Struthio camelus: one gene and its partner. Each later gene encodes a partner of the first gene's protein in a complex. Links are inferred from orthologs where the notes say so. Each region holds a gene or a part of one and is shown in the gene's direction. Other genes may lie near its edges.

Region 1 (14,865 bases):
CCTTTGGTAACTGCGGACCTCCACTGAAAAGAGAGAGAGGTGTCTCCTGGAGCAGATCAAACTGGAAAGGTTCACACTCCCATGGCTGGTGCAGAGCAGATACTCCTGCAATTTCATGCCACATTACACTTAATAAAAGGCTTTTACTCGGCGAGTTGCCAGCAAATCCAAGTAAGACCAGGGTTTCAATGTTGTACTCTTTGGACCTGCTCACCGGGAGTGCTCTGGGCTTGCATATGTCTGCATTTTTTGAGGTTAAAAAAGGGCAGTGGCTTTTTACTCACCTCACCCCCAAACGAGCAGAGTATCATTTTATAGTGACCTGTTTAAATATGAACACCGGCCATACCTGTTCAAGTCAACTGTATCGGGGCCAGCAACAAAAAGATTTAAATCAAAAGAGGGTGCTGCCTCTCTAAAAGCCTGATGTTACTGAACTGAATTCTGTGCACTAGACTGCCACACCATATACGGGTCTGAAAATGCTGGGCAGGAAATGGCAACAACATTTGGGGAGGGCGAGACATAAGATAGAACAGTGAAAGATGAGGAACTGCCTCCTGCCTATCTCTTTCTGTACCTGTGTTGAGCTGAACACAGTCACACCTCTGCAGGATCACACTTCAAATTTTATTATTAGAGGAAATACAAGTTTGCTTCAAAGCGGTCATAAAAAAAACAACAAAAAACTCTTGACATGGGGAATTCAACACGCACACACTACACACATTATCCATGGGGGACTGCCATCTCCAGATGCTACTGCATCTCTTCCTCCCTCTGGGCCCTGTATTCCCTCATGCTCCTCTGCAAACAAGAGCAAAGGATAAATGTTAACAGTGTATGTTAAAAAGGCTTCCGAGCTCTTCAGGCAATAGTCTCACCTCAAAGGTGTTGAGCACGTGCTGGCAAACACCCATCAGGTCGTTCAGCCCTTTTCGGAATGGCTCAATGGCAGGAAGGGCCCCTTCAGGAAATAAGATGCATTAGTGAAATGGGCAGTGGCTGCAGAAGGGGTTGGCAGCCCTCTTCCCCGATACATAGTGGCAGTGCAAAGGGGCAGCCCCACGACAGTGAGGGGCCCTCATGCCAGCACCGAGATATTTGCCCATGCACTTCTCCCCTCCCAGATCACCATCAGCAGCCTCAGAACTGAGCACAGCGTGATGGTCCAGCCTATGGCCCAGGGACAGCAGAAACTTTTCCCACAGTTAGTTCACATGGGGAAAGGGCTCCTTTGGCAAGGCCAACAGTCAAAGTACTGACTATTTTTAAAAGTCAGTGAACACAATCTAGCTACTTGCTTCTAGGAACTGGTCTCTTATATACCTGATGCTCAAGGAAACAGCCTCATGGCACATGGGCATCTCTCTAGGCAGCAGAGAAAGCTGCTGATTCCACACAGCCAGAGTGGAAGGCACTGGATGAGGAAGGGGACTACACTGGAGGGGTTGGTGTGCTGAGAGGAATGAGGATCTGCAAGAGACTCAGAGGTGTCCATGGAATCTATTATCAGGGGACAAAGTCCTCTTTGAGAGGCAAGTTTGTGGAAGAGCACGGACTGATGAGGCTTTTCGAAAGAGCCTCAGGTCACAGCCTGATGGCCAAAGCTACAGGATGACTTGAAGGGAGAAGCAGAAACAAACTCTCTCATGAGGTGTGGGTTTGCGATAGCAGCTAAGTAAGTCAGCACACCTTGGCTTTGCTTTCCAAATCCCAAGCTTATTTAGGGGGACATGGAGCGCCCATCACCTCTGACTGTGAGTGGCAGACCTACTCCACCCCTGCACTACAGTTCAGTGCCTGGGACCAAGCAAAGCCATGCGTTCCTCAATCCTCAGCGGGCAGAACACTACTCAACTTTACGGCCAGGTAACACAAAAACTGTAGCATAACGGCTCAGTAGAGGAGGAGAAGAGTGCTTTCCTTCCTTTTTTACAACCCATGGTTGAGCCCGGACATGAGCGGGGGGGAATCTCACAAAAGTACCCCAGACAAAAAGGCAATGCATGTGCCCATACCCCTAGTCTGGATCCGGAAGTTAATCTTGCTTTCAGAGGGGTGAGTGATGCAGTAACCACAGAACTCCACATCCGGGCTGCAGGAGAGGAGAGAGAGAAAGACAGCAGTGAAGCCCAGGCAAGTTCACAGCAAATCTCAGGGAAGTCAGAGGCACAAGCAACGCCAACAGCTAGCAAACCCGCTGGGTCTCAAGATGTTTCTAAAGCAAAGGGGTCTTATGGGAGGGGTACACAGAAGGGAAACTACCTATGCAGTCTTATTCACATTCCTCATCCCTCTCTAAGCTGTGGCTGGAGCTTTGCAGGGGAAGGACAGAGCTGGCACTCTTCTAGGTACTACCCGGACACTGCACAGCAGCAGGCCTGAAAAGGTAAAACCAGGGATCCTGGCTGCTTGGAAACTTCCCCGTACAACAATTTGTTGTACTTCTGCAGGGCAAAAGCGGTTGAAGGGACTAGGGCGCTGCAAGGATTTACTGAGATGGTTTGCAGGCTGCATGGCATCTGCCTCTACCAAGAGGTGGCTCCACTTGGGAGAACATCTGTGTTTTTAGCAGAGAGAACAGCCCCTTGCAAAGAGTTTGCTGCTTTTCTCATCATGATGATTTATCCGAGGAATTCACATGACATTTGCAATATAGCTGTCATTTGAGATGATGGATTCAACTCCCTGCTCTAATTCTTCTGAGGGTTACAAGGAACTCTTCACAAACCCTCAGTGCTGCCCAATTCAATAAAACTGCACGACCAGTGTGACCCTATTTGTATATTTTGATGAAGTCAACCAAATAATTCCCAGTATCAGCAATGTGTCTCCAAGCGGGCATGAAAGATTACCAATTTGCTTAATACTAGCTACTCCCACCCTCACTTCTGAAGGGACACGTCCCAGGAAGAGAGAGAGGTACTCTCTGACCACATGCACTTGCATGGATTTGGGCATCATTTTACCAACGGCCAAAGACTTTCAGAAGACTTTTGCACATCACATGTTAAATTTCCTCCATAATTAACTGCTAGAGAGTAATGAGGGCTGGCTGCTCCCTAAGGGACAAGGAGCCACACTTGGTAACACAGCTGGCAGGGCAGGGGCCTCACCAGTCAGGGCCCCCCCATCCCACCACCCCACAGCAAGTGAGTGGGGCAAGCCTGGAGATGGCAGCTGGGGGCAGCCTGGAGCCCAGGGCATCAGGCAAGTTCACGGGGTTGAGATAGGTCTGAGGTCAAGCTGGGAAGTCAGTCCACAGACCAGGATCAGGCCCTGTGAGGACCTTTGACATCGCATGCCTAATGTAAAGAACCTAAAAGATGTGAATTGAGGTAGTTTCTGAGCATATGCCTTGCTCTAGCAAAAATTAAGAGGCGGGTCAGTAAGGAGAAGGCCAGGGTAAGAGAGAGAGGGACGCTCAGCGATGCGGGACACCACAGGGACTTCACTTACTTCTTCATGACCATGTATCGGAGGGAGTTGCCAAGTGTGTGATCCTCATCATGCAACACAAATGTGACACAGTTTCCATCTGTCCCATCTGCCTGGACCTGCCGCAAATTGGGGAAGAAGAGATGCTGTAAGGTACTTTCAGAGGTAATGAAGGTCAAGCCTACAGTGAAGAATAAATTACTGTGTCCAACTAATTGAGCTGCATCAGTTACGTGAGCAGGGGCTGAGAAAATGATAGTCAGTGCTGTTTCCTGAAACAGGGCTCTCTATGCAGGGCCTGCTTCTAGGGAACTCTGTGTGTGAGCCCAGGTCATACATGGCTAACTACCTGCAGACAAGTAATGTACTTTCGATGCACGGAGTCTTAAAAGTACAATTTAACAAAAAACAAGTACCTACAATCAGAGAGTGTCAGAAGTCTCTTAAGGATCCAGCTGGGTGATGCCCCCACAAGGACAGTCTCTCAGGGAAGAATCAGGAATGCTCTTAAACTGTACCTAGAGCCCTGTAAGCTCTAAAAGCTATCCCAACACAGAAATACCACCACACAAGGCAAGGCAAACTTCCTAAAAAAATGTAAGAGGGAGAGAACATCCAAAAAGAACCTACTTATGACGGCACTTCATTAGAAATGTGTTTGGGGTCATTCAGAGCGGCAGAGGCTGGTCCCAGGGCCAAGAGAAACCCCAGCTCAGCTGATATGAGGGAGGACTTTGCAGGTCTTTCTGGGCCATCTCCACAGCTCACATCTCAGATGCTGCAGTGTGAGCAGCAGAGGGAAGAGCAGTTCCACAGCAGAGGGAAAGGTGCAAAATTACAGAGTCGAGGCAAACACTTCCCTCGATATCAAAGTGCCTTTGCATCCTTCTTCTTCAAGGCAGAGGAGAAGAGCCCAAATAAAGTCTGTAGCCGGCCTGCCTTCAGGATCCATGATGCAAAGTGGGTGGGACCAACTGTTCAGGTTGATGTGTTGCCAGGTCTCATCATTAGCAGGTGGCTAGACATGAATGAGAGGGACAATCAAAAAAACTCAAGGGGCGGGGGGAGGGGGGGGCACTGCTTGTCAGCAGAGAAATCTCATCTCAGCTTGAAAACAAAGGAAACTTTGCCACAAGTTGCTATGTGCAAGTCCTAATTCATACGCTTAGGATGTGCCTGGGGAGCCTTTGAGACTTCAGGCACCTACCAGCAAGCCTCAAGGGTGCTGAACCGCACACAAAATGAACCCAGCAATGCCTGCAGCCAGAAGTCAACCTCTGATCCTCCTGCTGCTTTTGGCTCAAGTGCTTGCAAACAGCACTGCCAGCTAGCACTTCCTAAGCAGGCTCGTTTGGGATCCCCTCCAAAACCAATAAGTCACTTAATTAATTGTTCTGCTGTCAGAGGGCTGAAGATCCTCTGACCTTTCCGCAGGCTCAGCACAGCCACCGTGGAGCCTGACATGGCCCGACAGCCCCCAACCATTTCCTCTCTCAGCAGCATCGAGAGGTTTCAAGGTTAAGTGTGGAGCCAGGCCCAGACGAGTGCTGAACTCTTTACATCCTGCCCGCAGCCAAATCCTCAACCGCTCCAGGAGTTTTATAACCCCTCACATTTCCTGCTGTGTAGCAACACTGCACAGCAGTCCCATTCCTCCTTCTGCAGGTACAACCCCCACAAGGAATTGACTCAGCATTTCAGAAGGGGGGATGCAGACTGATTTCCGAGGAGGAGAGTTCACCCAGGCCTGCAGCACAACTCAAGGGCAGGCTCCCGAAGCACCAGATCTCACAGAAGGGTAGATGTGATGCAGCAATGTTACGATGACAACGAAGACGCTGGACTGATATGGTCTCTGTCATCTCCCAGCATCTTGCAATCCATTCCCACGATCAAAGCACTAAGTCTTACTGACAGGGAAAATAAGGTAGTAGCAAAAACACTTTCCCTTGGTGCGGAAAGACAGCGTATAAGTGACTTGCCAAAGGCCATTTGGGCAGTCAGTGGCATGGATGAGACACCTTGCAAGCTCTTCCAGTTGCTAGACTCAACACCTCCCTCCTTCTTCCCAGAACCAGCTGCTGGCCTTAGTCTACCCTCCTGTAAGGCTTTTCCAAGAATACATTTATTAAGATTAATATCACCAATCGTACTTAAAAGCTTGTTTTCTTCCAAAGGCTAAAGGCTCATACAAGAACAGACTAACTCAGGAGTCACCTGCCTGCCAGGACAGGTCACATGGTCCACAGTTTGCTTCCTGCACCCCATCCCAGGATTAGAAGTGTGCCTGGGCACGTGCCAAAATCACAAGTGTCCCTCACCCCCCCAAGACAGGTACATTTCTGTTCACTGGGACAGTGACACGCTTGCAGTTTGGGCATAGGATGGGTGAGAAGCCCGAGCACGCAACTGTCGCATACTCCTTAGCTCAGACACAACCCTGGCCCTGCCCGGAACTGCTCCGGTGTCTTCATACAGTCCTCTCCAGCACCTCCACTTCTAATGACAACAGGCACGATCTGCAGTAATGAACTCAGCACTGCATAAATACAGCTGTACTGCATATGGACCCAAACAAGGCAGCTGTACTTGCATTATCCTGCCTTTGGGCTAAAAAGTCCTGTGGAGCGAGCAATCCACACAGCACTTCTACCTGCCCACTGTAGTCAGAGCACGGAGGAGAAAAGGACAGTAGCGCCATCCTACAGATGGGAAACTGAGGCACTGGGTGATTCAACAGTTTGCTCAGAGTCAGTCTCAGTGACAAAGTCTGATGCTGCAGTTAGATTTCCTGAATCCTGCATCAAGGCTTCACCTATTAGACTCTTCCCCTGGACAAAAAGGGGAACAAACACAACAAACAGATGTACAGGCAAGAGCCAAGAGATGCTTTTCCAGGCTGAGATCAAACGTTTACAGTTGAGTTACAGTGTTGTATAAAAAAGATAGGATGAAAAACAGGATGACTGGGACTTTAACATACAGCACTAGAAGTTGCACTGACTTCAGACTCATTCGCAGAGTTGAAGAAAAACATCTGCACGGGAAGGTGAGAAACAGGACAGGACATATCTCTGGTACAATTGCTGCATTAACTTATGAGTCTGCAGCAAGTGCTTAAGAGAAGCAACATGTGGCAGAGATGCAGAAGTCGATCCACCATGCAAGACGCTACCATGAGTTTAGCTTTCTCTGCCTGCTTACTGCAATCTGCGCACCCACTGCATTGATCGGGTAGACAAAAGCCAGAGCACGGCTGTTTCAGGCAGCTGAAAGAAATACTCTGTGTTGAACAAGTTCGCTTCACAAGAGATTTGATTTCTCTCTCCTCTTTCCTGTGAAGAGTCCTCTGACACAATTCTGGATCTCAGCCAGAATGTAAGCTTCCTTTCTTATCAAGCTATTGGCCCACCTAGTCATGTTATGATGATAGCATAGATGCTATCTGATGCTTCAGAGGAAAACAGCCACCTTCCCTCTGAGAACACGCCTCCTGAAGGATGGAGTCCTTTCTGGTCCCGGCACCAATCAAGCCTGCAGCTGGAGGCAGAAAGCTGAGATTTTTCAGGGAGTTCTTACACATCTCACCCAGGAGGTGTTTATGTACCAAACTACCCATCACATGAAAACTCCTTCTCCTACGAACCAACCTGGAAGAAAGCCCTGACTCCTGTGGGATAGAGAATTTTGCTCTTCTGGAGTCTTTTGTCTTTGGTTACATGCTGACTTGCCAATAATATTACCAAGTTGTTCTTGTATTATGGTACAGGAAGAAGGAAGAACTGACGAGATCACAAAGCAGCTTTTGGGATCTGAAACGCAGGACTGATCAAATTAAAATGTTTCACGGACCGCAGAGATGGAAAAGCCCAAGGTTATCCAAGGTATACCCTCCCAGCAAGGTCAGGATACAGCCCTGGAGGCCTGGCCACCCACGCCTCAGACAACCTCCTCAGCCACAGTCTCTCATCCTCAGAAAGTTCTCCTGCTTAGGGAGGCTGTGATTTATGACGATGAATTATTTAGCATTGAATTTGGTGCCTAGGTACTGCAGTGGTGTATATATTAGCACAGCACTGAGCTATATGGGATCAGGATCGGATATGAAGTAGGACTGTTCCCTTCCTGCAAGTCACTTGTTCCTACAAGTCACTTGTTCCTATCCTAACTGCTGTTTACGCATAATTTGTCTTTTATGCTAGAATATACAGTCTTCTGCTGGTTCAGTCTGTATGAACCAATAACAGTCTCTACGCCTTCTCCTGGTTTTTTACGGTACTGCATTCCTCCCTCTGAGAGCCTGGTTTGCTGCCAAGGGCCTCTCTCATAACTGCAGCGCTTCAAACCTCCATTTCATTCATCACGTGAGACTTGCAGGATCGGGCTTCCTTGCAACAGCAGCTTTCAACCCGCGGCTTGCACACACCAGGGGCAAGAGTTTGGTCATGCAAAACCTGAAAACGGAAAGTAAAACAAACAAACAAACAAACAAACCCCAACTATTGCCTAGAGACTGGAGTTCCTTCTGTAGGGTAGGCCACGGCATCAGGAATAGTTTTGGAGCCCCCAGATTGAGAGACTATGAAAACCTGTTGTGCTAGGTCCTCCCCGAAGGGAGCTTGTAAAACCAGACAAACTTAAAAGAGCCCATTTGTTTCTGCTGTACAGCTGCCCCGGTCCTCAGCTCCCCCTGTTTTTGACTGAGAGGCTGGCGCGCAGAAGAGCAGACCATCCTGTGGCAGCTCTCCCCGTAGCCACGCGTGCTGTCATCTGCCAGCTTGGTGCCTCAAACCCCGCTAGCGCGAAGTGTGGTGCCATCTAGCGCCTTTCACTGCCTGCAACGGGTACCAGAGAGGAAGGAAGGAAGGAAGGAAGGAGGGAGGGAGGGAGGGAGGGAGCAAACTCCGGCCAGCGACCCCGGGACGGGTGCAAGCGAGCAGATGGGGCCCGCTGCCAGCGCCTGCACAGCCAGCCGAGGCCTGGCGGTCGCAAACGCGTAGCGAGCCACCTCCGACAAACAAGGCTGCTTTTGTAAAACGCCAGTCCTGGCCTCTTCTCGGCCAGCTCGTTAACGCGACACCGCCGCTGCTCGCTACAGGGCAGTAAAGGGAGCCTCAAACAGCAGCACCGCAAGGCGCGCAAGTCAAACGACGCAGGCCGCCACACGGCGGGGCCCGCCCGCCCCTGGCCGAGCGCCCCTGGCCGAGCGCCCCTGGCCGAGCGCCCCTGGCCGAGCGCCCCTGCCTCCCTGCGCGGCGGGAGCGACCCCTCCGACCTGCCCCGGCCCCGGCCCCGGCCAGCCCCGAGCCGCCGCCGCCGCCGCCCGCCGCGGCACTCACCACCTCCAGCACGGCCTTCTTCTCGCCCTCCTCCGCCATGGCCGCGCCGGCCCGCGAACTACAGCTCCCAGGAGGCAGCGCGGCCGCGGCGGGAACTACAAGCCCCAGGGGGCCGCGCGGCGCCGCCGCGCCGGAAGTGCGCGCGGGCGACGCGCGGCGGGGCAGCCGCAGGGCGGATAAGAGCGCGGCGGGCGGAGGCGCCTGCGAGCGCGGCGCCTCGTCCGCGCCGGCCGGTGAGCGGGGCCGCGCCCGGTGCCTCTTCCCGCCCCGCCCCCCCTCCGGGAGAGCAGCCGGGGGGGGGGGGAGCGCGGGCCGGGGCCAGAGCGGAGCCCTCCGGGGAGGCGGCCTGGGCCGGGCCCGCCCGGGCAGGCGGCGGGGGGTGTCTGGGGCTGCCACAGGGCCGCGCTGCTTCCTCGGCAGGTCCCGTTCCCCCTTCCCCCCCCCCCCCGGGCCTTAACGCACCTCCTCGTCTCGGCCCTGAAACCTGGGGGCTCCTGAGCGGGGTCGGGTGCCAGGGGCAGGGCCGCCTGCCCAGCTCGGCCTGGAGCGGCCCGGTCCGCCCCGGGGGGGTGGGGGGGAGGGCTGCCTTCACAGCTGCCTGCTTTAGTTAACGTCTGGGCTGTGGCGTTGCTGGTGTAACTCAGGTGATGAGGGTCTTAAAGGTTAGGTGCTGATGAATAATCTGCAGCGGTGCTTGTGATAGGAGGGTTGGGGGAGAGGCTGTGAGTAATCATGCTCTAGGATGTGTTTCAGCTGTTCTGTGTTACCTCCTTAGTGTGCTGTTTAGTCGAGAGCTGTGATGTTGTTTCTTTACTCCCTCTTGTAAAACGTGTGATGTTGCCTTCCAGAAAAGGTGGTGGGCCTGGAAGAGAGACTGGATTAATCTTGCCTAATGACTTGTATTCCTAGTGATGAACCAGAAGAGGCACCTGGAGTAAGCTGTGTGGGCAGAGAGGAAGCTAAACTGTTCGGTTAAGTTAGTGCATGAAGTGTGTGCTTCTCAGGCTTAAAATGAACAAATAAGCTCTGGGACTTAAAAGTTGGAATACCCCTAAACTATTTTTAAAAATTAAAAAAAGAAATGATTGCTTAGGGAAGTGAAGGAAGGGTTAAAGGGAAGTCTAGACTGCTTTCTGCTGAAGTCACTCTACTCAAACGGTCTTTTCATTGCAGCCAGGCAGCTTGCAACTTACAGAGTTGCAACACCTTAACTTATTTCAGGTTTAAAGCCAGTAGTACTGTGATGCCCCTTGCTTTCTGTACAGTGCATTTCTGGAAATATAAGCAGTAACTTCCTCGCTCACTTAGCCCTGAAGCTTTTGAATGCTTTGATCAAGCAGCACTGGTGAGTCCCCTCTGGCTGGTAAGGGCAGTACTGCTGAGTGATAGAGAATGGGTGCAGTTTCTCTGGGTTGAGCTCTTGCCCCAGCTATCTTAGCTACCATCAGACAGTTTATTCTCGGTCGTTAGTGAAGTGTGAGCACCAAACAAGTTCTGTGTGTGTTTTTTTTTAATCTCACTTGAAAATAATAGGCCGTTTGTTATATTTGGAGACTTCATGGCTGAAACTTTAAACATTGCATTGCAGACTGAGCCTGTATATTTTTCATTCTCTAAGATGCTGCACACTTTTCTGGGCCCTTCTGTCAAATATCACAGGAGAACTTGCACATAGCAGTGTGATACATCTTGCATTTAGTCCTTAATGTATGAATGCAAAACTCAACTCCCCTTTAGTACTTAAGCTGTACCTGATGCTTTGGGCACATCTTAAGGAGCTTTTTGGGTCTGGTGTTTTCTAGGTGGCTGAGGAATACAGCCTTTCCCTCCTGCCCTGGAGCCTTTTGATGTAAGGCCTGCCTGGTATTTCTGTGAGTTCAAACTGTCCTTTAGGAAGGCTTGCTCATGGTTGTTTTCAGCTATTAACTATCTTAAGTTTAGACAGACACTAACTCTGATTTCTAGGTTATATGAAGAGATTATATGAAGTAGTTGACTTCAGTGGATATAATTCCAGACTCTCTTGTAGCTTATGAGGAAAGATGTTTTCCAGAAGTTTAGCAGTTTGTTTTTTTTTCTTTAAAAGAAAGCACAAGTATCTTCTCCTAAGAGCTGGATGAGACACTGCTTAGAGAAATGTGCTCATTGTTAAGTTTGTTTTACTCCTTTTAATCAGCTTCCAGCAAAGCTGAGAGGAGAGTAGCTGGGAGAATGTGGCTGTTGACTACTAAGTAAGGCTGAAATTTGATTTCAGTCAGTTGGTTTCCCTGCTTACACAGGATTGCAGAGCCAAATTACTGACTTCTGGTGAAGCTGTATGGATAGCTTCTGAAGTCTCAGCTAGCTAGCTAGCATCATCTTACTTGTATCCTGTTGGTAACAGCCCTACTGAACTCCTGTCTCACGAAGAGCTCTACAAATAGCCTATATTAAAAGGGTGGAGACTCTTAAAGTTGTGGCAAGGACTTTAGAATCCTCAATTTGAACCTAGAGTTCTTCATTTTGGGAATCAAGGTATCTCTGTGCTTGGGTGGGCTTTGTAGTTCTGAGGTTAGTTGCTGTATGGCAAACTACTGATCCTTCACAGATGTGTGCATGTGTTTTGTTTTGTGTGTTTTTTTTAAACTGGTCCTTTGTATTGGTCCTATTCTCTTTTTCTATGCGAAAAGACTTGTTTCCTGATATTTGTCAGTCACCTGATTGCTCAAGAGGCTTAATCATGTTTGTTTAGTCTCAGCTGTGACCTAGTGTTATACCACATGCTGACACTGTTCTGGTTATGTTGCTGAGCTGGCCAAAACACTGCAGACTCTCTCAGGGGCTCTGATCAGACATGATTATATTCATTTCTCTTGTTTCAGTTAGTATTGTTGCAGATCAGTGCGCTGTTGTAATCCTTGTTGCAAACTCTTAGAACTGTGCTTTCTGCCCAGCAGTTCCTTCCTGGTAGGAAGTAGGAAAAGCATTGGTGATGGCTCCTGAAGAGACTTAGCACCCTGCTGAAGAGGAGTTGAGTGAGTAGAAAACAGAACAGAGTGAGTTGTGTAGTTCATTTTTGTTGAAATTCCTGAAAATGATCAAAGCTAAAGGGAGGGATAGGTGACCAGTTTAAGCTTGTCTAGAATTGCTTGTGCATACCTGTTGATGCTTAATGCTCCTCTTTTTTTTGCCACAGATCTTTGTTTTTGATGGGAAGATGCTTGTGCTCTCTCCCTGTGTCCTCATCAGAGACAAGAATGAGCTGCTGTCCCTTTAATCAAGGGAAACTAGCAACAGTTGCCTGGCAGTTTTACAGTATTGGTGTGTGTTTTTGGGGGTGTTTTGATTTTGCAAGATCAGAATCAGCTGTTGGGCTGCTCTTGTCTCTGGTGTGATTAAACTTTTAACTTGAGTTATCCAAGGGCTAGTTTTGTTTCATATTTGTCTATAAATTTGACTTGTTGGGTCTTTTTGCTTTGGCTTGGCTTGGCTTCTCTTCTGCTTCAGCTTATTTGTGTAAAGGTAGTGGTTCCTTCAGGAAGGTTCCAAGAAACTATTTGCTACTTCATGGCTTACCTTGGAGTAATCCCTACTTCTGTTTGTCCTTATCCGGTTGTTCGTATTTGATGCAAATAGTGCTGTGTCATATCAGCTTTTAGTCTCCTCAGGTCAGTGGAGGGAGACCTGTACTTACTGATTTGTTCAGCTTGTGTTTAACTAAAGTTAGGTGAGTCTTGGCTTAGAGCACTGAAGTCTCACTTTGTGACCTTCAGACTTGTCTGTCTCTAGCAATGTGCTTTGAAGAGCTGAGAGTAGGTTAAGACGAAAGGCAGCAAAATATCGCCGGAGACTACTTTTCCTGCTCTGTTATCAGCTTGTGGCTGCTACAGCAATTCAAGGCTGGATTTAAAAAAGGTGTTGGCTGCTTAAGTCTTCAGTGAAAGGGTGTCGGAGCACTCGGTGACAGGAGTATCCTGAGGTGATTTGGATATGTGCACGTTGACCAGTCTGTAGAGTGCTACGTACAGCTTTCTGGAAGAAAGTTTGTATTTTCTTTACTGGGGTAGCTCTGAAACACTCTAGGCAAGATGTGATCTGGCAGTCTAGTTCAGTGATACTGGCAGGAAAAGGTTGTGGTCAGGCTTCAAAGAGCCTTTACGAATGGCTTTGACTCTCTGCTTGTCTCTCTTTTTTCCTCTGGCTAGTCAAGCTTGATGAAGTAGTGGAAGAGATGTTAGGATGCCTTGGAAGAATGCTTTTAAACCTCTTTAATCCGTTTGCTCTGAACTGGTAACGCTGGGACTTTAAGCTTTTGTATAACTGTTAACTGTCTGTCTATGGGAAGAGCTCATAATCATACGGATGGGCAGTGAGATGGGGAAGAGCAGTACTAAAGCTAAAGCATTGTAGGAATCATAACCTCCCCTGGGGCTGGACCATAGATTTGACTTCACTGGCCACCTGCCCTGCTGATTAAAGAAATTACTTGTTTGTCCTAATTCTTCTCCCGGAAAAGAGAACTCCTGAACTGTGTTAAGAATGGCTGTACTGAGTAAGACCAAAGGTAGGTCCTACCTACTATTTGCCATAGTGACTAACAGGAAGCATGGAAGTATAGAAGAGATGCGATGAACTTGGCTCTGAGCTGTTGCTTGCCTGGTATTTGTTTAATAGTGATTCTTTCTTCTGTAAATTTGTCAGTCTCTGAAAAGTTCATGTGAACTCTTTCTCCATGATACTCTCTCTGAATAAGTTTGAGGGTGCACTGTGTGTAAAGAAATACTTCCTTCTGCTGGATCCTGTTCTCAAGAACATTCTCCTCAGTTCTGTATTGGAAATTGTGACTAAGAGCAGCTTTTTTGCTTTACATTTTCTGCTTGGGTATCTTTTCCTGGGCTGATGAGTTCTTTTTTTTTTTCCCCCCCCCTTACATACTTTCCACGTTACCCTTTCTCTTGCGTATTCTGTAACTTCTACAGTCGTCTTCAAGTAGATGCTAATAGTGCTTATATGGTTAATTAAACAATATCTGTCCTGACCTTTAAAGATCACCTTTCTGAGCTGTTCATATTCAGATCTTTAGATGTAAAATAACGTGTTTTTTCTTCTGTCATGACAAGACTCTTTAATGTCAGAGGGCAGGTGTGAGGCTGCGAGTCAGTGTACCTGTGACTGCGCCAAGTCAAGCAATGCAAAGTAGCGCAAGGGAGACTTCCCCTGTCCTTGGTAGAAATGGCACACAGACAGGTCTGGAGAGTGTCAGCTTTAAGCCAGAAGGAAGTGAAAGAAGCAAATGTGATGGAGGGGGACTGCTGCTGAGTGCTCTGGTGCTTCCTTCCACCATTTGGTTTAATGCTTATCGCTTGTCTGACTCTTCAGAAAGAGTGAAGGAGAACAGCTTATCTGAGAATTCATGCCTGAAAGGGGTGAGGTGGTGTGTTATGTGTTCTTTCTTCCCCTTTGCTGATGCCATGAACTTCCCCTGTCAGTTCTCTTTCGGGAGGTGCGTTTGGTTGGGTGCTATACTCCGAAGCAGTGTCCTTTGAGAGCTTTTATTACGATTCCTGCTTTGCTTGCTGGTGTCAAATTAATTCTTTGCCTTCTGCTCCCTTTTGTAACGCCAGTTCCGAATACCTCGGTGCTCTTGTGTGGTTGAGTTGAAGGTTGTGGCATAGCCATGGAGTATCTTCTGAACAAGTTCATAAGCTTGCTCTTTTGCCCTCAGCTGTTGAGCTCTTGTGCCTCTGGGAAGTTGTGTGACTGCTGATGGCCAAGCCTGAAGCGGTTAAGTTCTGCCTGATTAAAAAGAACTGTGAGCATTGCAGCAGTGAAAACGGCAGTAGTGACTGTATTATAACTTCATGGTCTTGTTAACAGTTCTGCACTTACTTCACCTCTTCCATTACTGCTGTGTTGTGCATCAGGTCAAATTAAATTACAAGACGTTCAGGGAAGAGCTGTCTGCGCAGTGCCTGGCAGGATTGATCATTGATACAGAAGGCCTTGCTGAGACTGAGAGGTCATACCGTTCAGTGCCAGATGGGTAGAAAGTCTCACTGGGCATAGTCTGTGTTCACAGTCTTTCTACAAGTGCTCTTTGGATCCT
Region 2 (14,747 bases), on another chromosome or scaffold:
TGATATTGAAGAGCACTTTCAGGATCTCCATCGCTCGCTCTGTCTCCTGCCGAGGCAAAGGTGGGAGAAGTCCCTCCTCGGCGGCAACTTCATACGGGTCCATCCACTTCACACCGAGGGTCAGCTCCAGGGTATCTGTCATCAGGCTGATGCCCCTGAGCTCTTGGGCTAGCTGCTGCCGGATATCCACTCTGAGCGCTGTCAGCAGGAACAGGAGACGCAGGTCAAAGAACTTGACTTCGTGGGGAAGGCTCCTCTCGTTGTACAATTTGATGCGCTTGGCCAGGCCAACCGCCAGCCGGGCTTCAGCTGTCAGCTCCTGTGCCCTAGGGCTGCTGAAGACAATGTTGCAGAGACATTTGAGGGATTCTAGGATCACATCCAAGTCTGGGACCTCTCGGATGAGCTCCTCTGAGTAATCAATGCCAGCATGCCTGGAGAGAGTCTTCAGGCCTTCCTTGGTGGTGAAAGGGTCAAGGCAGTATTTGTCTCGGGACAGGATACGGATGCTTTCCAAACATGTGACCTGGCAGGATGGCTGGAGCTCTCTTTCCAAGAACTCGATCAGCAGCTGGGCCATTTTCTGTGCAGAGGGAAACAAGTAATGCCTCACGCACGGACAGTTAACAGTGCTCCCCCACACACAGAAATACTGCCCTGTAATGCTCTGTCTTGGAAGAGGTGAACATCATCTAGAAACAGGCCTGCTACACAGCTCAGATTCAGATATGAGTTTTGGCAGAACTCAGGAGTGGTTGGCTCTGGCACCTGATCCTCACCCAGTTCAAGAAAGGATGCCCAGCACGAGACAAAATGGCTGGCAGAGGGTATCAAATGTAATAGGAGAGTACAAACAGGCAACTAGTTCTGACCAAGTGAACTACTGGTCCCTCCGCTGAGCCAGAGGAACTGACCGTATCGCTTCTTGCAAACACTACCTATTTCAGTGTCATCCACGGTTATGATGGTTTAGGCTAATAGTTTACTTGACAGCTGCAATAAACTAAGAGAGGGCAGGGTGAAAAAGGGTCTTACCCTTGGCTTCAATGAGGAGCAACAACCAAGTCAGTAGCAGCAGTCTAAGGCTCTGCACCCAAAGCTCTAAGATTAGGGAGGTGTCTGCTTTGGGTGCTCCAGAAACAGACTGACAAGTTTGAGAGACAGATCAGAAAACTGTTGAGGGAGGGAAAAAGGACCTAACTGGATTGAGAAGAGTGGGGAACGCCCTAGGAAAGGAGGTGAAAAGACCTCAGAAGATTTAAATAAAAAATACCGCCCTAATTCTCAGGGCTGCCTGGAGACCCAGATCCTCAGAAGGTATAGGCTGGCAGAGCTCCAGTAGCACTGGTTTACAATGCCTGAAGATCTAATCTTTCTGAATTAATGGTATCTTATGTGACAGCAAGCAGTGGCAGAGTCCAAGAACAAAGCTAATGCTTCACATAGCCAGGTGCATCTTGGTTATGTACAATAATACTCCACGTTACACTAGTAACTGTTCGTTACCCGTTGCGTAACGACTCATACCATGGTGAGGCAAGATTTCACTAGATCTCTCTAAGACAATACCATGTAAGAGCACACATTTTCCCATACATATTACAAGAGGAATCAAAACACCAGTGATTACAGGGTTTGCTATAGCTCAGTGTAATTGGCTTAATACAGCCTAATCAAAGATATTTCATAATAATAAAAAGACTGAGGACAGGAATGAAGGAACTGTACATTTTAGTTCTTAGCATGAGGCTTAATATGAGAACTGAACGAGCTTTACCCCCTTTGCACCCTTGCCACAAACTCATTTTCTCTTTCCAGCAGTCTTCATCCAGAAAACTTTGCCTGCACGAGTGAAGCGTGTCTCACAATCACACCCTGGAGAAGGGAGAAAGTACAGCCATTCCTCTTCTCCTTCCATATGAGGAGACTGAAGCAGAGGAGTTAAAAAATATATATTCATAAGTGACCAAGGCCTCTGACTGAGTCAGGTTAAGACTTCAGAGCGTGTGCCCAGGTCTAAACCTTCAGAAGAACTGATCACCAGGAATAAGATGTGATGCTCAATAGATATCTCGTGGGACACACCCAAAAAGTGAAGTACCCAAGGCTGTCTGAACTGACAGCCTATCGGGCTCTCCTAGTTCAAACAGGAAGTCACTAACGAAGCAAAGGGCTCACATCTTCTCAGACCCAGTCCCTCGCTTCAGGCTGTAGTTGGAAAAACTTCACGTAGCATTAGCTGGCATTGGCACTGACAGAAGAGGTCCCTTTCTCCACCCCAGTTGCCTGGTTCATGCCTACTCCTGCTCCACTGCTGTGCTAACACAAGCATTAGTGCAACCAACCAATAAAATGGACCACAAAACTAATCCAGCTGGAAAATAACCCAGGCCAAAAAAATAAATAAATAAATTACTCTTTAGCCAGATCAGCCCACCGAACACGTTCAGTGTACAGCCATGCAAAGGCCTGCCCTGGCATGAGAGAGGACCCGCTGCAAGAATGAACATGCCCAGCCAGGAGTATTTCTCTCCTCTGAGTGCCAGATTATGCTATCTTAAAGTGTTTGTCAGTCTACAGCCTTAGCCATACGCTGCAGCTAACTCGCAGAGAAAGCACTTACCTGCTAGAGGCTTGCATGCTGCTATAATCTTTGCCTAGGGCACTCATACCATTTAGGCGAACACTTTTCATATACCTATGGCTGAGACTATGTGCAGCACTGAACCTAGAAGGGTCATTAAGGCTGGGAAGACGCTGCCCTTTATCCTAAAGCATCATGTGCTGATGGAAAAGCTGAGGCCAGATGCTTTGCGCACACCATTCCCTAGCCAAGTACTTCCCCAAGTCTGAAAAAAGCACTGACTTCTTTGCCTCTGGAATTCACTACCACCAAGCCGTGCTGCACTCAAGTATGGAGCAGCAGCAGATTTACCCACCCAATTACAGGAAGAAATCAAAGAGCATGCTTACCTTCCTGTCTTCCCGCTCCTCATCATCAAAGGTGAAGCACTGATATTTCTGTGGGGACAGAAGAGGTGGTGGGGGAAAAAAAAATTAAGCTCCAGCAATAGGTTAAAAACCTGCAGAACTGTTGAGCCCCCATCAGGAAAGGGTCACTCAGCTGGTAAGCAGCAGGTCTAAAACACTGGCAAAAGCAAGCACATCTTTTCAAGGACGGTCCTTACCAGTGGAGTGGCAGAGAATCAGCATGGCAAGGAGAGCCAGAGCATTTACAGGGGTCTAAGATATTCACAGGATGGTAGCAAGCAGTGGAAGTTCCTGAGAAATCAGACAGGACAACTTTCCTGCCACCGAGGTTTGAACTTGCTTGCTGTTTTTTCTCTCCAAGATCATCCTTCTTTAAGCAACTCAAAACTACGTGCTTCAGAATTAGCAGGGATGAATCTGGGTTGAATTGCACAGATATCGGCCATACCGTGAGGTCTGAAATGCTTTCATTGACCAAGATCCCCGTTATTCTGGAGGTCCCTGCCTCTCATTCATCTCCAGAAAACATTTGTGATGAATATTAACTGTTACACTTTCTTACTGGCTCTACAGTGGAGGCCTGAATGCCACGGGCCGAAGCTGTGCCCATCCGACTGACGGATTTATTTTTAAATACTGCAGGAGGAAAGTAGGTATTCATCGCAATCCAAATATACTGCAGTATTTTATCATTCCTCTGCTCAGTGTCACAACAGCACATCCCAAGCTGTGCCAATACATTTTTTCCCCTTGATATTTATTGTTCCATTTCCTTACGGAAAGGAAGTACTGCCTCTTGTTATTTGCAAACAGATCCTTGTGTTCTTCATTCCCACAGTGTCTGGAAGTACAACTGTTTTTCAGCTCATGTTCTTTACACACAACTGATTAGCAAAGGTAAACACCCTTCTCCACATGGCGTCTCACAGGGTGCGCTTTACTGCCCTGCATTACTTTGCATCAGTACTTGAACTTGCACTTGCACTTGAACTCCACAAAACGTTGCATAAATATCCCCCACCAACTTGGGCGGCACTGCGGGGTGGGGAGGTAAACAAGTTCATCTGAAGTCTGCAGTTTCTTTCACGCAGCTCTCAATAAGCCAGGCTTCACAACAAGTACTGCAAAGAACGTATTGCTAACAGCAGGCATACAGAACAGCTCACTCCATCCTATTCACCTTTCTGCTTCTGCGAGCACTTCTGCCAGAGAGGTCCACAGATCAACCGTGCGGTGTAGGAGCTTTTCCTTTCACCAATGTGTTGTCTCACAAGTCACAGACAAGGACCGTTAGATTAGTCAGTCCGATCTCCTGCATAAGACGGTCCCAGAACTTTACCCATTATGGTCTTCTGGGAGAAGAAGCGTAAGGAGGGTCAATATTTATATAGCTAGACAGAGGTTTGCGGATGTCATTATCTCCATCATTTTCTTAACGCTCCCCATCACCTCTTTTGCCAAGTTACATTGCACAGATGCATTTACGAAGCTGTTCAATAAAGACAATTAGTCTTACCACAAACAATCATTCTTATAACCTGGACTAATTCTTCTCCTGAGTGATTGCAGTTCACCGAGATCCCATCCGTATGTCTGAATAGCTCAGCTTGTCTCCTACGGTATGTATCACCTTATGGTTCTCCTGCCCATGAGCTGCTCAGTTGTCCAACTGTATCTCATTCCCTGCTCACTGCAGTCAGTGATCGTCTGCACTGAGCTTTTGGAAATCACACGTGTTCCTTGTTAGCCTTGACTCATTCACTCTGCAAGCATAATCTCCTCTGTTGTTCACTGCCTTTTACACACAGGGCCAGCTCCTGGCTACTTGTAAGTAGACGATACAGTTTGCAGATCAACAGCGTCACAGTTACTAAGATCCCTGGGACAGCTTTGGCTTTTTTGGCCTAGAACAAAGAAGGATGGATACAGTGATGCAGACATGCCAGCTAAGAAACCTCGGTGCAGAAGCAGGACATCTGAATTCCTGTAAGCGCTGTGCCAGGGGCTGGCCTTCCATGCTTTAGCGCTGTGAGTTGGTACGCACACAGGCTGTAGCACCACATTACAAGGAACTGGCAGTTCAGTCCTCGAACCGGTGTGCTCTGAAGACAGCGCCATGTCACTTGTTCTTTTCCTTTCCCATCACATCTTTTTTGCAAGTTCCTGTCATCTCATTCGTATGGGTTGCTGCAATACCTGTGGTTTTGCTTCAGTTGGAGTATCCTCCCGTATTTCATTCCTGGCAACCAAGAATCGACCGTATCTATAATAGCAAACTGCATTCCAAAAACATGCCCAGGAAGTGATACCTTACTATCAGTTTTTGCAGTGAAAACTCATGTAGAGAAGTTGCTTAGTTTATTTGTAGTTTCCTATCCTCTTTGACTGCTCCATTTCTTCTAGACCGACTAGCAAAATCACTGACATTCTCACAAGTTTCCTACGCTTGATACACCGACAAAGGATCCAGCTGGAGGAATTCTACCAAGAACGTCTTAAATTTGACACATTAAACTCCCTCTTTGCTCTCCTGATTTCTTCAGCATTACGTCCACTGTAGGTGACTGTAATCCTGCTGACCGTCTTTCTAGTGGGGACCTTCTGCTTCTTAGTTCAGATTTCCAATGTTTCGAAAGTGACTGCTGGGAATAGTTGCACATTTTCCCCGTGCACACTTGTGCACAATACTTGCAGTTTTTCCCTGCTTGCTTCCCACCTGCTTAAGAACAGTGCAGAATGAGTCATGTAGATCTGCAGGGCCAGCCCTATCCTGGTGGAAATGCTCTAAGAGATATTTCCCTGACAGCTAGAGTCTATTTCAAAAGGGAACTACCCCCACAGATCATCTTTGCTGCTTTAAGGCTAGGAACACTTCCATTTCTGCTTCCTAGCCGTTCTTTTCATATCCTATATTCATTTTTTATCCTTTTCTTATTGTTAGCTTTCAGATCAGGCACCTGTACCTAATTCCAGCAGTCCATCCATGTCCACCGCTGGTGATCTTTTGCTTGCAAATCACAGCCACTATTTCACCTGCAGCTCCTCCCTGGGCCTCAGTTCTATTACCTCCAAACCTTGCTTTAACCTAAAAGCTCCTCCTACTTCATATTCATGCTGATGTTTATTTCCCTACCATGCTTTACTTGTGCTCCGGATAATAAAAAATGCTTTCTATGTGCTTTAATTCCAGTACACCAAGGAAATAAGACGAAGAGATGCTGCTTAGCTGTTCCTTACCAAAACACGAAATACAAAACCGTCTGCAAACAAAAGATGAAGCGGTCTACAACATTTTTACGGCAGTAATGCAGAGACAGATGCGCTTAGAGGAGACAGACGGGGGACCGCCGGATGGCACAGAAATCCCACAACATGGCCAACCTGCTTCTAGGCTCACAAACAGAAGCAGCTGACGTCAGGCAGAGGTTTGGTGCTCACTCACCTCCTGGTTGTAGACCTGAAGCACCTTGAGAACTGTGTCTTGCTCCCCGCTTTCCACCGTGGCTACCACAGTCCTCAGCTCCATTATCTCACCAGCTCAGCTGCTGATGGAGGCGAAACAGGCAGGAAGGGGAGCGAGGGCACTTCCAGAGCTCCTGGACAACGCTGATGCGAAGGGACCTTGATACACAGAGAACCGAGGGAGTGAGAAAGGGGTGGGGGAAAGGAAGGAGGGAAGGGGGGAGAAGAAAATCCACACACAAAACAAAACCCCCAAAACACAAGTGGGATCGCTCACTCCGCTGCGTCCATAAAAGCAGAGCAGATAAGATAACGCAAGCAGAACCAGGCGCTAGCTCCCTCTCCCTCTAATCCTGTCTTCTTCTCTTTGCCTCCCAACATTTAACATCTGCCCTCCCAGCACAGCACTCAGGAAAACCTTCCCCCCACCCAGCCAGAGGATTAACATAGAACAGATAACAGCAGCTCCCTGAAATAGCTCTCTGCCTCCTCCTCCTCTGGCTGTCCTGATTTCTGTTACTGCCCAGGAGCAGGGGGGAGGGAAAAAAAAAAAAAAAACAGACTCCTGTGGAGTAAAAAGGGATGGAGAGGAAAGCAAGGCAGAGAGGCAAATACCATCCTGGCTCACTTAAGACTGCCTTTTAAGGTGGTGAAAAAGGTAGAAATCATTAGGATTTTTGCCGAACCTGTTGAAGGGGATAACCCCGTGCACCGGGGCCCTCGGTGCCTGCGTTTTGGAAAGATCAGGGCAGACACACCGCGTACGCCTCGAAACCACACATCCGGATGACGGCTGGCCTGCTTGAGACCCTCAGCAGACAAGGTCCTTCACGGTAAGGGCGTGAACGAGCAGATGCGGGTCTACAAGCGTGAGCCAGGACAGATGCTGTGTCTCCGGCGCTGCGCTTCCCTGCGGCTTTGGGGGCAGAAAAAGCAAGAGCGGGCTGCAGCACTTCTCATTTTTGCTTCACTCCCCCCCCTCCCCTCCTTCCTCGTTTAAGTTCCCTCCGCGCCATTCCTGCGCCCGCCGAGGCCCCTCCGAGCCCTTCCCCTCCCTCCCTGCCTCCGCGGGAGCCGGCGGCGGCGAGCGGAGCGCAGTTACCTGCCCCTGCGGACCCGTCCCTGCCCCGCCGCCCCCGGCGGGCTTCGCGGGTGAACCGCGGCGCCTGGCCCGGGGCTGGGCGGGCGGCCTCCGCCTCTCGGGGCGCTACGTGAGGCCAAAGGGAAGCCGCGCCTCCATTTCTCCCCTCCCCGTCCCCGGGTTTTCTCTCACAAGTTCACTCGGGGAGAGGGCGGAGCGGGGGGGGACACCGCGAGCGCCCCAACGCCGGCGCCGAGGAGGAAGAGGAAGGAGCCTGCGTCGCGCTCTCCCCCCCCCCCCCCCCCCCGCCAAAACGGCGGCGGTGGCGGCGGCGGCCATTTTGTAGAGGCGGGGGGCCGGCGGGGCTCCGCCTGCGAGGCGGGCCCGCACCGCCGCCTCCCGCCGGGGCCGGGCGCCGTCATGGCGGAGTGGGGCCGAGGTGAGGGGGAAGAGGGGAACGGGCCAAGCCGGGCCGGGTTGGAGGTTCCCTTCTGCCCGCTGCCCTGTGGGGTGCGGCGCGCTGCCACCGCCGCCATTTGGGGGATCGCCGCCGTCGCCGCCATTTGGGGGATCGCCGCCTCGGGGCCCGCGGGGGACGGCGCGGCGCGGGGTGACAGCGTCGGTAGCGCCTCCCCCCCCCACCGGCGACTGCTTGTGGCCCCCCGAAATGCTGGCGGAAAGGGTCGCGCTTCTCGCCGGCCCTTGCGGGGATGCCGGCGGGGCTGCCTGGGCAATGACGAGGGGAGGTGTTGGGGGACAGAAAAACCAGCGAAGCCCAGAAGCGCTTTTACAGCCTGACCCCGCTGCAGGGAAGGGTAAAAAAAAAAAAAAAAAACAAACTGGCCTTTTCCTTCCTTTAGCCAAAGTAGCGTTCTGTGGAGATGCGCCCTGTCGCTGGTGCATGGGACAACGCGCGTCCCCCAAGCGAGGGCGTTGAGGGCTACTGGCGCGCCTCCGCGCTTTTTTAGAGCTACTTTTGGCGGCTAAAGCCCCCCGGCACGTTTCAGGATTTCTTTCCCGAGGGCTCTGGCCCTTCCTTTCGGTGGAAGAGCTTGGGGGGGGAGGGAGGGCGTTTCATGGCGGTCGCCATCCGTCCCCTGCGCCGTGGGATGCGGGAAGCGCGAAGGCGGCTGAAACGGCCCGTCCGGAGCGCCGCAGCGACCCGTCCCACAGCGAACTCGCTCTCCTCCTGGGGCGAGCGAACATGCTGCCACTTGTAAGTGGGACCGATAAAACCCTTTCTCTTTTTGTGCCAGGTCAGAGTCCGAGCACCGTGGAGGATATGTTAGATGCCGAGAACAAGCGTATGGCAGACAGTCTAGCCAGCAAGGTCACCAGGCTGAAATCGGTGAGTTGCTGAGTTCGCATCCGGGGCTGCGGTAAATGAAGTTTACCTGGGCTTCAGTTGCCTGCGTTGTTCGTCTTCCTCACAGCGCCTTGTGGGAGACGCAAACCTCTGGCCGATACAGAGGGCTTCCTCTTTATAAGCAGCTCTTAAGAGAATGTTGTAGTGGATCTAATAGTCAACTTTCCCTAGTGAAAAGCGGCATCAGGTAAGGCGTTTTAGGCACAGAGAGAAACCTGAGAGATGCACAGAGGAGTGTTGCTAAGTGCATCTCCTCTGGAAGAAAAGTCACAATAAAATGACAAGCTACTTTTGAAAAATACCCAGGTATGTACGCATGTGGTGTTCTAAAAGTTAGTTTGCCCCTGCTAACGTCAAGTACTTTGATTTAGAACTTAGTGTAAATCAGTGATTAGTATTATAGCAGGTAGGACTGATTTCTGCTGTTGTGAATATTTAAATGCTTGTGTCATATATATGAAGCTTCTGTCTGATAGTAATGCTTTACTTCCAGTGCTATAGAGCAAAATCATTTAAACAGTCATCAACGGAAATGAGAATCCTGTTCTGTCATTGTACCAAACAAGGCTCTGTAACTCTATACAGGAGGCAGGGGGAGGTGGTGGCTTGCTCTTCTATTTGCGTTTCAAATTTTTCCAGCTTTGGATGCGCTAGAGGTGGTCTCCATGTTAAAAGTTCATTAATACCTGTTTCCTCCCTCATCCTGTATAGCTGGCTCTGGATATTGACAAAGATGCTGATGAACAAAACCATTACCTGGATGGCATGGTAAGAAAGCAATGAAACGTAAAAACCATGGTTTTTTTGGGGGGGCTAGCTCTCAAGCAGTTACCTTATTTGTGAAAGTTAATAGCAGTTCAGTAAAGGAGAAAAAGTTAGATTTTCCCGTTGGCAAGCCACATAATTCAACTAAACCCGCTTACTGTGGGTTTATTGATAAATAAACATTAGCTGCTCATACCGCTTTGAATGGGCAGCATAGCCAGGTATCTAGCATCTGGAAACACCCACGTAGGACAGTGTACTCCAGCAATACAGATGGAGATTACCTACTTACTGGGATTAAAGACCTGCCTCCTGTAGCTAATACTGGGAGATGGGCCTATTCCTCGGTTACTTCTGTGATTTTTGGTAATGTTGTATAAATCTGTCAGGATTACTCACTGTAATCTCTGAAACACAGAATAGCTGTCAGGGTTCACTGATGTCTTTGGAAGGAGCAAGGCTCGCGCTCAGAGTGCAATCAGGTTGTTAGGTTCCCTGTTCTGTTATCATTCTGCTTTAATTTCTAGAGGTAACATAAACATCGCATGCACAATGGCTGATAAAACCAAAGTCACTTTCCGGAGTAATCTGCCTCTTAAGCTTTGGTTGCTGATGGAGAATCCCCGTGCTGTGGGGAAAGGCCAGGATGACCGATTACTATATTAGTGCCTAGAAAATATATTATCATTTAAGGTCAGAAAACAAGGTAAGGTTTCTCTTGCCTCTAGATTTTCCCTATCAAATTAAATATTCCTATATTTAGGTCGCACTGTTAGTTTCTGCAGCGTTACCTAAATTGAAATACCTTAAAAAGTTATGTAGCACTTGCAGAGGAAAGACTTGTAGCAGAGGCAGTAGCAGAGGGCTTACCTGCTGAGGCTTTTTGGGAGAAACATAACTCATTAACTGAACTGTGAGAGGAAGGGAATCCCACACAGCTATTTGAGAAGAAGGTTAGCACAGTAACACTGCTGCTTTGAGAGACTTTTCTGCACATGCTGCATTTTTGACAACTGGTAGGTGGACTGGAGAGAAGATAATTGTGGCATTGAAGCCAATTGAGTCAAAGATGTGAGCTCAGCTGGAATCTTAATAGCAGCACACAGTGACAGTGTTGCAGTATCTGAAATGGATACTTAACTCAGCCAGGAAATTAAGGCGACTGGAGAATCAAAGTAAAAGATGTTATGGCAAAGAGCTTAAAGGAGAAGTCCTAAATAAACATGAAATTATGCTTCTGTTAGGGGAGCTTTTCAAAGATTTCGGGAGAAACATGAGTAGAAGCTACAAATAATGCATGAATAAGGAAAGCAGGCCAGGAGTCAAAATTAAAATGACTGAACTGCATTAATTTGACAGTTGTTTGCCGGTATCTGACAAAAAGTTTTACATGCATGCCATCCCATTCTAAAGAAAAAGTAGAACTAAGGGAAATGAATTGCACCTTCTTCTCTACTTCTGAGCTAGTCCCAACATGCTATGAATCGACGTTAACTTCATGGAGAGACATTTCCTTCGGATTAAGTGTTCACTTGTAGAGTTGCCATTAACAAGCTGTTCCAGGCAGAATAAGCTGCACAGGTGCAATTAAACAGTGCAGTAAGAGATGATTTTACAACAGTTTAAAACATGTTAGGAAACTTTTTTTGCATTTGGAGTAGAACTTTTCCTATCCCTCTTGTGTGACTGGTTTGAGCACTGTGGGAATGGTGCTGTTGCTGGAGTCCGAGCACAGGAGTGAAAGAACTTTCTGAGAGAAACATGATTGTGGGTGTGGGGAGATAGGCAGTTACTGTGCAGCTACCTATTCAAATGTTTTTCAATCACTAAGGGAAGTTCTTCAGGAATAGCCTTTCTTGTTTATAATGTCTCCATTTTGCCTTTCTTTCTTCTTCAGGATTCAGATTTTATGAGTGTGACCGGCCTGCTGACTGGCAGCGTGAAGCGTTTCTCCACCATGACGCGGTCAGGGAGGGACAATCGCAAGTTACTCTGTTACGTTTCTGCAGGACTGATTGTTGTCTTCTTCATCCTCTACTATCTCGTGTCGAAAGCAGGGACTTGAGCATGGTTTTCATGCCAGGAATTTTACAGACCAAAAATCATGTGACGATTGATGGACTTATTCAAAGCCCTTTGCAGTCTGCCCTGTTGTGGAGTTTTTGAGGCATTCCAAACAGTCCAAATAACTTTTCTGTTCCTCAGCTTACTGTCATTGATCTGACTGGTCTTGGACATCTCTTTGTAAAATGAGTATGTTTCAATCTAAACTGATTTTCACATGTAAAATGATTTTGATGTTGTTAATGCTTAAGCCTTCATCTCTTGCCTTGTTGCCCGTGTCCTTCAGCCTATTTTCAAAGGCTGCTTTTGTGTTACCCACATTACTGATATTCCCTACTAGGCTTGTGAAGAGTTATGTCAGACACAATTCAGAGATTTGTCAGTGCTCCGAAGTTTAATAAACGAGCAGAAGTCCAGAAGCTGCAGAGTTGAGGATGCTGATTTATGAGATTTGGAGGTATGAACTTGAGACTTATATTCCAGCTTAGCCACTCGGCTCATGCACGGGCTCAGTTTCACCTTGACTTGGAGGCACATTAATATCATTGGTGTCACTGGGCTGGAATTAAGTTCGTACAGCTTTGAAATTCAACCAGCGGTAGATCTGGACCCTGATACACTATAATTGTTGCAGTGACGAGTTGCAGAGGAGCAAGACTTTACCTGAGTGATAGCTTGGCTTTATTATCCTTCTAGGTGAAGTTGAGGGTAGACACTGCAGGAAAAGAAGGGCCAAAGTCCTTAAGTTGCTGTTATTTGCACACGTATAATGTTTTTCCACACGCTTGAAAATACACTCCCGTAGACTGCTAAGGCTGTATGAAAGTTCCCATATCAACTTCCCCTCCAGTCGTCTTAAGATCATTTGCTTCAGGCCTCATGCAGTTTATTGTCGTTATTACAGTATCCCTGTACTACAGCCCTTTGGAAAGACACTGCGCAAATAAAAATAGAGGTTGTGGACAAGTTAAACTGCATCTTGTTGAGGTGATGGTTGGAGGACAGGGAAGGATTTGACCTGAGGGTTGGTGGATGTATTTATTTAAGTAGATGGTAACCTAAGAAACTCTAACTTGCTGTGCTGTCCGTTGTGCTTCTGGGATTCCTGCCTGAAATGTTTGTGGGAGATGTGTGGGAAAGCACATCCATACGAGTTTTGTTTATAAAGCAGTCGTTCCCAATGAACATGCAGTGCATGCCAGATTTCCTCTCCTGAAGCAGGGCACGTAACTCTTATGTCTCAGAAGGCTGAGAGTATCGCACCTGGAAACTCCAACTTCCCTTCACCCTCCTTTCCTTTCAGTGGGCCGATCAGCCTCTCACTTACGACACTACCCCATATGCATTCTTCCGTAGCGGAGTTATTTAAGTCTATCTCTAATTATAGCGAAAGATCTGTAACTTTTAAAATACTAGGCCTGTTGGAAGAAGAAACAAACAAAACCCACCTCTTTCTCTTTTCAGAGGAAGCCCTCGCTACCTATTATATAAACCTTTTACTATACAAAGCAGCTGTACAAAGGTACTGTGTTTCATATAGTCTCTTTTCTGTACCACGTGCTGATGTGATCTGGTTTTCCTTGTTGGAATTCTTTGCTTATTTTGTTCTCTCATCCTCCTGTAACGACTACCTCTCCAGGACTAAAGACTTCCTCCTCTTTTACAATCTTTTTTTCTAACAAGTGTTTATTCATCAGTCCCTGTATGTTTCATTTGGCCTTGACATTGTATCTGTAGGAATTCCTTTCTGCTTGGGCTAAACTGGGTCTAGATCTAAACAGACTGTGCTGTCCTTTGCTTAAACTGTATCAGACTTTTAACAGAGTACTTTCATAATTTGATTGTGTGTCGTCTTCCCAAGTTTGGGGAAGAAGGGGCAGTGAAGGTGAGTAGGAAAGGAGGCAGCAACGACTTTCTCTGGTTTTTGTTTCTGCTTCTCTGGTAAGATGCGGCAGTTCCAAACTCTTTTTGCACTTGGAAGAATGATGAATCGCTTGGGTGAATCGCTGGACTCTTGTTTCGATTTTCTGAAGTGGATCACTTCTGCTGAGAGACCTCTGAAACAGCCTGGTCTTCATAGTAGTGGCGGTTTCGGTTTGCTTTTTATGTTCTAAATAAAAATATGTTTTTAGAATAGTCTGGCCAGGTGTTTTTTTTTTTTTCCTCTTGCGCTTATGTCTTAGCAAGATTAAAAACCAAGATCAGATCATTCTGTTATATTTAAATTGTACAGAACCTGCTGCCTCAGAGCCAAATGTAATTGTTATCTTAAGAAACAGTGTACGTGCAATGAACTATACAGAGATCTGACGAAAGCTGCACTAGCTCAGAAGTAGCCAGTCATTCATTAGCACTGTACAACCTTGTTTAAGCCTCCGAAACTTACAGTGGCAGTTACAATTAGAATCTTGCACACCATTAAATGTTCTAAGGACATGCACTATCCAAGAAAAGTATGAGTTTAGAAATGACAAAATTCAGATTTAAAAAAAAAATACTCACAAACAGAGCAATTAAACGCTCACAGCAGAACTCCTGTCCAGTATTCTATGTCAATCACAAACCTCCAGTATAGATATTTGTATACCTGTATAAATTAGGAAGAATGTCTTTTCAGACTGACAGGAATCCACTTGTTACCACCTTCATTATTTTTCCTTAATGTAAATAATTTGGGGACTTGATTGTGGCTTTTAGGCACAGCCCATTAAAAGAGAGAACGCAGAGGGACAGTGTTTCAGGCTGCACCTTGGGGGAGAAGCAAATGCAGCCCCAGGAGCAGCAGGCTCTCTCAACATGGGGGCGTAAAGATGCTCCGCTCTCCTGTGTGAGTGTGTAGGAAGGACTTCACTGTTTCCATGGGGCAGTGTTTTCCTGGGATTGCTCTCTGGATGGCCTGCGTCTGCCCTCAGCCTGGGCTCTGCTTTGAGGTGAGGAACGCTACTTTTCCAGGGTTAAGTGAGGAATTGGGATCCAAAGCCTATTTTGTTTAGCACAATCAGGTGAATACGTGCTGCT

What was found.
Region 2: VAMP7 (region 1) and BET1L share a complex: the UniProt entries of both Homo sapiens proteins name them as parts of the SNARE complex. The link is inferred for Struthio camelus from reciprocal best matches to the Homo sapiens genes VAMP7 and BET1L.

The regions. Positions count from the first base shown.
Region 1 is NC_090952.1:3,656,790-3,671,654, reverse strand, and holds the start of VAMP7 (vesicle-associated membrane protein 7), read left to right. Parts: upstream 1-8,890; 5' UTR 8,891-9,013; intron 9,014-9,628; exon of another isoform or gene 9,629-9,714; intron 9,715-9,953; exon of another isoform or gene 9,954-10,125; intron 10,126-10,582; exon of another isoform or gene 10,583-10,651; intron 10,652-11,713; exon of another isoform or gene 11,714-11,815; intron 11,816-13,275; exon of another isoform or gene 13,276-13,323; intron 13,324-14,865. Other genes in the region: DNA-directed RNA polymerases I and III subunit RPAC2, read right to left, coding at 760-807, 885-967, 2,022-2,098, 3,463-3,560, 7,788-7,895, 8,781-8,819. UniProt on the Homo sapiens protein: Involved in the targeting and/or fusion of transport vesicles to their target membrane during transport of proteins from the early endosome to the lysosome. Required for heterotypic fusion of late endosomes with lysosomes and homotypic lysosomal fusion.
Region 2 is NC_090946.1:7,681,614-7,696,360, reverse strand, and holds BET1L (BET1-like protein), read left to right. Parts: upstream 1-8,008; 5' UTR 8,009-8,201; coding exon 8,202-8,349; intron 8,350-8,790; coding exon 8,791-8,882; intron 8,883-9,611; coding exon 9,612-9,668; intron 9,669-11,562; coding exon 11,563-11,730; 3' UTR 11,731-13,868; downstream 13,869-14,747. Other genes in the region: RIC8A (synembryn-A), read right to left, coding at 1-583, 2,974-3,021, 6,434-6,517. UniProt on the Homo sapiens protein: Vesicle SNARE required for targeting and fusion of retrograde transport vesicles with the Golgi complex. Required for the integrity of the Golgi complex.